Saccharomyces cerevisiae S288C: one gene and its partner. The protein of the gene in region 2 binds, or shares a complex with, the protein of the main gene of each other region. Each region holds a gene or a part of one and is shown on either strand. Other genes may lie near its edges. The genes, in order: UFD1 and NPL4. A codon is read from its position in the direction of its gene.

Evidence for each region.
Region 1: the proteins of NPL4 (region 2) and UFD1 are in contact, whole or in part, in a cryo-EM structure (PDB 8DAR), measured with the Saccharomyces cerevisiae proteins. Residues at the interface, in NP_009729.1 of Saccharomyces cerevisiae: Gln258 (codon at 1,472), Glu292 (codon at 1,370), Gln293 (codon at 1,367), Asp294 (codon at 1,364), Gly295 (codon at 1,361), Leu296 (codon at 1,358), Thr297 (codon at 1,355), Met298 (codon at 1,352), Phe326 (codon at 1,268), Thr327 (codon at 1,265), Asp328 (codon at 1,262), Ser330 (codon at 1,256), Phe340 (codon at 1,226), Cys341 (codon at 1,223), Lys342 (codon at 1,220), Arg343 (codon at 1,217), His344 (codon at 1,214), Asp346 (codon at 1,208), Ser351 (codon at 1,193), Leu353 (codon at 1,187), Glu354 (codon at 1,184), Met357 (codon at 1,175), Arg360 (codon at 1,166), Ser415 (codon at 1,001), Gly416 (codon at 998), Ser417 (codon at 995), Thr418 (codon at 992), Phe419 (codon at 989), Pro420 (codon at 986), Tyr424 (codon at 974); in NP_011562.1 of Saccharomyces cerevisiae: Val232 (codon at 2,391), Leu233 (codon at 2,394), Gly236 (codon at 2,403), Ser237 (codon at 2,406), Met238 (codon at 2,409), Ser239 (codon at 2,412), Arg241 (codon at 2,418), Tyr244 (codon at 2,427), Ile247 (codon at 2,436), Ala248 (codon at 2,439), Phe285 (codon at 2,550), Asp286 (codon at 2,553), Gly287 (codon at 2,556), Glu288 (codon at 2,559), Pro289 (codon at 2,562), Ala290 (codon at 2,565), Lys291 (codon at 2,568), Leu292 (codon at 2,571), Asp293 (codon at 2,574), Leu294 (codon at 2,577), Glu296 (codon at 2,583), Gly297 (codon at 2,586), Gln298 (codon at 2,589), Leu299 (codon at 2,592), Phe300 (codon at 2,595), Phe301 (codon at 2,598), Gly302 (codon at 2,601), Phe303 (codon at 2,604), Met305 (codon at 2,610), Val306 (codon at 2,613).

The regions. Positions count from the first base shown.
Region 1 is NC_001139.9:588,129-591,732, forward strand, and holds UFD1 (polyubiquitin-binding protein UFD1), read left to right. Parts: upstream 1-1,697; coding exon 1,698-2,783; downstream 2,784-3,604. Other genes in the region: transcription factor TFIIIC subunit TFC4, read right to left, coding at 1-1,341; SCM4 (Scm4p), read left to right, coding at 3,186-3,604. UniProt on the Saccharomyces cerevisiae protein: Functions at a post-ubiquitation step in the ubiquitin fusion degradation (UFD) pathway. Has a role in the endoplasmic reticulum-associated degradation (ERAD) pathway.
Region 2 is NC_001134.8:575,844-580,099, forward strand, and holds NPL4 (nuclear protein localization protein 4), read right to left. Parts: upstream 2,244-4,256; coding exon 501-2,243; downstream 1-500. Other genes in the region: adenyl-nucleotide exchange factor SSE2, read right to left, coding at 1-153; Sec63 complex subunit SEC66, read left to right, coding at 2,521-3,141; SMY2 (Smy2p), read right to left, coding at 3,307-4,256. UniProt on the Saccharomyces cerevisiae protein: Substrate-recruiting cofactor of the CDC48-NPL4-UFD1 segregase. Assists CDC48 in the dislocation of misfolded, polyubiquitinated ERAD substrates that are subsequently delivered to the proteasome for degradation.

The DNA of each region.
Region 1 (3,604 bases), on a different chromosome or scaffold from region 2:
GTTATCTGTGTTCAATCTTAACAATCCCAATCTAACTCTAATATCGATTGGAATGTTATACGATTTTTCCTTTTCTGCGGCAAGTAGTGAATCAAAGGTACTGTTTTTAAACCTTCTATTGTCAAATTCTGAATCATCTGGAACATGATCCCAAAATGTCTGGCTTTCGCGGCGTTGAATCCACCGTGCACATTTTTTAATTGTCTTTATACCATCGACCTCACTAACTGCGAGTTTTAAGAAAAGTTCCGCGAGAATGTTCAAAGAAGACCAGTCAAATGGTATGCATTTATATTTTGCATCAATTTTTTTCCAGTTGATGTCAGGAAACATCTGCCTATCTTCATCTTGTTCAAGGGGTTCCTTTTCGTCTGCATCCTCCCCTTCTGCGGCGCTTTCTTCGTCTGAAGAATCTAAGGCATTTTCTAAAGCAGCTAATATCGCTTCCCTTCTCTCAACATTAGCATTAAACACTTTCATATAGAGCTCAATTGAATCTTCAATCCGATCATAATCAACATAAAGAATGGCCAACTCCCTCAATATGTTTGCATCATAAGGATTGTACATGTAAAGCCTTTGAAATCCATCTAAAGCTCTTGCTAACTGTCCTGTCTTCTTGTACAACATAGACCGGCGATAAATTGATTCCCATTCCATAGGATTCAAACTTATTACCCTGGAAAAGCAGTAGATGGCCTGCCTAACATGATCTAAATCGGCGGACAGTATAGCGACTATCTTCCAGAATTCCCAATCGGAAGCATTTAGGTGAGCTGCCAGGAACCAAGAGTTACAACAATCATTAAGCCTTCCTTGCAATTGATATATATCTCCTAGGGTCTCGTAAGCAGCAAAATTACGTGCATCTTTTTTAATTACCTCATTAAATAATCTTTCGGCCACTTGTAAATCATTCCTGACAAAAGCTTCATTGGCTTGAGAAAGTAATTGCGCTACCTCTGGATCAAGCACTCTTTCTTTTCTTTGGCGGCCGTAAGATTTACCTTTGTCATTTTTCTTCTTCTTTTTTACCTTAAAGTTACTTGCTTCCCTAATCGCGTTCATGAAATCTTCCTCATCGTCTTCAGATATTTCACCGTAGTCCGAGAATTCTGCCAACAAAGAACTGTCTCGTTCGGAATTATATTCATCTTCGCTTAATTGTAGATCATGAGGTACATCCTCGTCATCATATTCCTCATCTTGAATCAAATGCTTATAGTCATCAATATTTCCGTATAGATGCTCTTCATCCTCATCGTTAACTTTACCCGTATCAGCGCTTTCTCGTTCAGCTGATTGATTTTGCTGTTCCTTTTTCAATTTTCCTGCTGCCATCACAGATACACTTGAGGGTTTCTTTCTCTAGCTTCAGATTCATTGTTGACTGGTGTTATTATACACAGTGCGCTGCCATTATTATCGTTCTTCTATTTCTAGCCGAAGCGCCTTAAAAAAAAAAAGTGTCCACTTTGGGAAACTCGCCTTTACGACGAAAAAGTCAAACTTGCGTTCTACGAAAGAGAAGAATTCCTTTTTTGGGTTAGGTGGCGAAAAATAAAGGTAGTTAAAAGTAATCCTGGCTGGTCTATGTGAATAGGGAAGAGATAATGATGTAGTTTTCAATAGATAGTAACACATACCATAGCAAGGGAGGAAAAAATATCAAAGTGATACTGTAAAATATAATAAAAATGTTTTCTGGCTTTAGTTCTTTTGGCGGCGGAAATGGTTTTGTAAATATGCCTCAAACGTTTGAGGAGTTCTTTAGATGCTACCCTATAGCTATGATGAATGATAGAATACGGAAGGATGACGCAAACTTCGGCGGGAAAATATTCCTGCCACCAAGTGCTCTAAGCAAACTATCCATGTTGAACATAAGATACCCCATGCTTTTTAAACTAACTGCCAATGAAACTGGACGTGTGACACATGGAGGTGTTTTAGAATTTATTGCTGAAGAGGGCAGAGTTTACTTACCACAATGGATGATGGAAACTTTGGGTATACAGCCAGGATCTCTACTGCAAATTTCATCTACTGATGTACCTCTGGGCCAGTTTGTGAAGTTAGAACCTCAGTCTGTAGATTTCTTGGATATTTCCGACCCCAAAGCAGTTTTGGAAAACGTACTGAGGAATTTCTCGACTTTGACCGTGGACGATGTTATTGAGATTAGTTACAATGGTAAAACTTTCAAAATTAAGATCTTAGAAGTCAAACCAGAATCATCATCGAAGAGTATATGTGTCATTGAAACAGATTTAGTAACAGATTTTGCTCCACCTGTAGGATATGTGGAACCGGATTACAAAGCGCTGAAAGCTCAGCAAGATAAAGAAAAAAAGAATTCTTTTGGTAAGGGCCAAGTTTTGGATCCCTCGGTGCTTGGCCAGGGATCGATGTCCACAAGAATCGACTATGCGGGTATCGCTAACAGTAGCAGAAACAAACTATCTAAATTTGTAGGTCAGGGACAAAACATATCTGGTAAAGCTCCGAAAGCGGAGCCCAAGCAAGATATAAAAGATATGAAGATAACGTTTGATGGCGAGCCCGCCAAGCTAGATCTGCCTGAAGGCCAATTATTCTTTGGTTTCCCAATGGTCCTACCGAAAGAAGACGAAGAAAGTGCCGCTGGTAGCAAATCCAGTGAACAAAATTTCCAAGGCCAAGGGATCTCACTAAGGAAGAGCAATAAGAGAAAAACGAAAAGTGACCATGATTCGTCCAAGTCCAAGGCTCCCAAAAGCCCGGAAGTAATCGAAATTGACTAAAAGATATATACTAGTATACAACAATATAGTGTCTTTGACAGATATATAGAGCATTTTCAAGTTAACAGATCTTAGAATCCAAGTATCTTATGCATCGCATTAGCTCTGCTGCATTTGCTGTTCGTTTAGTAAAAATAATTACGTGCGCGGTTGCGCGATATTTCCCTTGCTTAATGCCGAAGTAATTCTCTTCGTTTACCCATACTCGAATCTATTGTGTTGTTGAAAAATAAAAAAAAAAAGAACCAGGTTATATAATTGTGAGTTGATCAGTATATAAATGAGAGAAAAGAAGTTTCTATTGTTCCAAATTATATCCAAGCTGATTTTTTAACCCTTACCTCACGAAAAGCAAGTTTAAGACAAACACTCATAAGAATCCTTACATATACTAAAAAACAAATGCAAGTCTCCCCAGCTATTGTAAAAGGTATCGCAGTCTCATCATTAGGTTTATACGCCGGTATTTTAACTTCATCTACCGTGATTTCTATTACCACCCCAATAAATGTTCTAACTCAACATTTGAAGAATGTTTTGTGCACATTAGGATGCTGGAGCACCGTTTTAGGTGGTTTAGCTACTGGTGCCTTTGGACTCAGCTACTATCTAGCTGCACCAGGAGAAAGACCAAACTACCTTTTGTGCGGACTTGGTGTCGCCCCATTATCTGCAGCCTACCTATACTTAGTATCACTGTTCAATCACAAGCTAGCCCCAAAATGCACACGTGACCAAAATGATTTAGAAAAGCAAAAGGATGAAAAATTACCCCAACATCACCCGGAAGTCAAAGATGGGGAAGCTGCATGCCCATTCTC
Region 2 (4,256 bases):
TTCACCTAAGTACCTATTTCTGGGGCCAAAGCCGACCAAGGATGGTGTAGACCTATTAGAAACTTCATTGACAACGACATCAATACCCCTATTTCTGGCAACTGCTAGTACTGAGTTATTGTTACCTAAATCTAAGCCAAATGGAGTGCTCATTATATTATATCCTTTGGTTACGTCTGTTACAGGTAAAAAAAAAAAAAAAAGGAAGTTTTAAGGGATATTTCCAAAATCTATATACAAGATTTCATAAATAAAAATCTCTAAACGGCAAAGTCCTTTGGTTTATATCAAGAGTACCTTAATATATACCAATTTGTAAAAGCGACTCCCAGTTATTGTTCCTTAAAACTCCTCGTATGATGTGATTTTTGGTAAGGGGACGTTCTAGAAACGTCTACTATTTTGGATGATTTACATAGTTTTAAAATAAAAAAGGCTCAATTTTACCTTCCGCGCATTTCTATTTTTTTAATCTAAAACCTCAAATCTTACAGTCTCTCCTAGCCGCTTTCCTGAAGGATCATGACTAACGTTTGCCAACCAGCCGATGAGACAAGTTTTAGTAGAGATTCTTCCCATTCATTTTTCACAGCAGATTCTATTAGTAACTTCCATTCGTCTGGAGAGAGTATCTGCAGAGAATTTATGTATAATAGTAAATGAAAGTTCGAGATTTTTTCATGCAAAAGATTGAAATCTCCACTTGAAGCCACATTGAATAAATACTTTTTTAATTCTTGATAATCTTGAGATTGCCCCATAGCTTGTCGATTGCTCCATGGAAATCCGGTGGAACTAACGAATTTCGAGTTGGTTTCCGTATCGGTATTCGGGAACCCATGAGTCAGCGTCACTAAAAGATAGTCTACCGGAAATGCAGGCTTCGCATTTTCCTTCACTGTTATACCATATTCATTCGACTTCATGTAAAATATCTCAGGTACATATCTTTCATCTGTAGTGTCATTAATATATGCCATTGAAGGAAATGTGGACCCACTTATCATATCTGCAGTAACCAATGCTTCAGCTTCTGTGGATACTTGGTAGCTCGAAATATCAATTTCACCTTCCAAATTACCTGATATAACGCAAGTTACAAACTTGGAAGAAAAAAAACCTTGTTCGCTATACTTGCTTACATTAGGATGCCTTGTTTGATGCCTAGCAGCCATAATAACTTCTAATGATGAAAGAAAAAACGAATCCTTATGTCTTTTGCAAAAAACAGACCCATCCCCAGCTCCCGCGTCAGATAAATCTGTAAATATTAGGCCAATTCGCGAAAGCCCCATTTCTTGAGCCTGTCTATCAATCTGTAGCATTTCATTCTTGACCTGTTCTACGTCCATGGTTAAACCGTCTTGCTCATCATGCTGAGGGGGCTCGTATATCGCCTCAACGACGGCCTTTATACCTAAAGGTGTGTTATCATACTTAGAATAAGATCCGTACATATAGCCAAATCTTTGCATACCCGTGTACCTCCACGCCTGAATAAATTCATTAATTATTTCACTCTTCTGAAATTCAACGTGGTCAACCATTCTAAATTCTTGCTGTTGTAATGTAATTGCCGATGGTTGACATTTAGAACATATCCCCCGAGGCCATGGTTCATGGCCATTATGGCAACGCTTATTGATTCTAAAATCAGGTTCTGAAAGAGGGGAAATATAAGAGCTGCCGTTCTCCTTCTTATTAGCATTTTCATTTAGCTTTTTAAGATATGAATGAAACGATATATGTTTGATCTTATTCTTCTCATGATATTCTTTGTCCCAAGGAGGTAAAGGCGAGCAGTATTCACACATACCTCTATCACCGTGCTTGCATAGTTTTGATTTTTGACGAGGAATTAATCCGTCCTCTTTCTCTAGTTCCTCATCTACAGCGAGTTCTTTGATCCTTAGTGGACCGTACCTGTGTTGACGAATTCCCTTGCTGTCAATACCTACGGATCCGATTTCAACATTGACACCATCTTTCTCATTAGCGGGCTTGTCCGAATAGTTAAGGATCAGCATGTCACCGTGCTTTAGTCCTAGATCCATCACTGTTCGATCAGCTAGTTCAGAAACAGCATGAATACCTTGACCGGGCTTCTCACAAACAGTAAATGTGTCGACATCGGCATTGGGGTCCAGATTACCCACCAACTTTTCAATGACCGTTCCGAAAAGGTCGTTTTCTTGACAAGAAACCCTGTGTGTACCGTTTTTTGATCTAAATCTGATAAGCATACTTCACTTAAATGTATATCGATATCAGTAGTATAGGGAAATTTTTCTTCAGAGTACTGTCCTATTATTTGCCACTCTTCGTTCTGTATGTTACGAGGGCGTTCCTTAAAATGGGTAGACGCATCTTATTACCCGCCAAAAAACGTCAAAAGTTTTAGGAACACGTCTAAAAGTTGAAATAATATGTGAAAAAATTGATGAAATATTAATGAAATGGCTTATTTAAACGAATTCAAGTACAGGAAAGAGGTACGCACAACTACTTGAGTTTGCCAATATGTCCGAATTTAATGAAACAAAATTCTCCAACAACGGGACGTTTTTTGAAACGGAAGAGCCAATTGTGGAGACGAAATCAATCTCCGTTTATACCCCACTCATATATGTCTTTATTCTGGTGGTGTCCCTTGTGATGTTTGCTTCAAGCTACAGAAAGAAGCAGGCCAAAAAAATTAGTGAGCAACCATCCATATTTGACGAAAACGATGCCCATGATCTGTATTTCCAAATAAAGGAAATGAGTGAAAATGAAAAAATTCACGAGAAGGTGTTGAAGGCCGCTTTATTGAACAGAGGAGCAGAATCTGTTAGACGATCATTAAAGTTAAAAGAGTTGGCTCCTCAGATAAACCTTCTATATAAAAATGGCTCTATTGGGGAGGATTACTGGAAGAGATTTGAAACTGAAGTTAAATTAATTGAATTGGAATTTAAAGATACTTTACAAGAAGCTGAAAGATTGCAACCGGGCTGGGTTCAATTGTTCGTTATGGTTTGTAAAGAAATTTGCTTTAATCAAGCTCTCTCTAGACGTTATCAATCAATCTTGAAACGGAAAGAAGTGTGTATTAAAGAGTGGGAGCTGAAAATAAATAATGATGGAAGATTAGTCAATTAGTGCCTACTGTGTGCAAAGATATGTATTCGCTCGTTCAGTGTTTTTTTAAAAATATGTATAGAATTTGTCATTATCTGCGTTAAAAAATAGTTATAAAGTATATACAATAACAATAAATGATAAAGAAATATGCAGTGAAAAGAAAAAATTATGAAGCTTTTCCTTTCAGTGTTTTCTACCCTTCTTCTTGCTCACTACTTGGAATTCCCAGCCGTCGTCATCATTGCCTGATAGAGCTAGCGCTTCATTCCAACTTAGTGGATCATCACCTTGTTTTTCGCACGCAACACGTCTTTTAATAAATTCAGTGGCAAATCTTCTACCATCCATAACGTCACTATTGGCATAAATTGTTTCTTGAATCAATTCTTTAGATTCTGGCCCCGTAGGTAAACTCAATAATAGTTCTAAGACATTGTTATTGGTTATTCCAGAATTTAATTTCATCTGTGATTTACACCATTTGATAAATTCTTGCCGGGGAGAAACATTGTTCATGCTAGCAAAGGTAGTGGTAGTAGAAGTTGTGCTAGTTTTTGCCGTTAATGAAGAATTTAAACTGGTATTGGTTTTTGAATATGGGGAGACAACGGTTCCTATAGGTGCTTTCCCTTTAGAAGTCACCGTAGTCCAAGAAGATGTGGTAGTAGATGCAGAGGATGTGGACTTTACTTGTTTGGAAGAACTCTGAACCTTTTCCCATAGTTTTTTCTGCTCTTCTATGAAATTTGGATCTTCCAACTCCTTTAACGGAGACGACTCTTTCATCCCTTTTGGGCTTTTTTGAAACTGAGATTTAATATCAATAGTTTGATTCGATGGTAGGCTGGACTTGTTAGCCCAGTTAAGCACGGATTTTAGTTCCTCCTTTTGCTTTTCTTCTTTGCTGTTCCTCTGTTGTAGACCTAAGGGTTCTCCTTTCTTCTTTCCAGTGCTACTTACACCATTTTTAATTGAAGTTTCGATTGCATTGTTAACTTTGACTTTTGAGGCCCATGGTGCCGGATTCGCGCTTGAGGAATTTAATGAAGGCAAATCTTTTGATGTCTTAAAGCCTTCTGTTTGTGTTTGTGTGTCCTTTTTTGTCTTTTCTGATTTTTTTTGCTTTTCTGCTT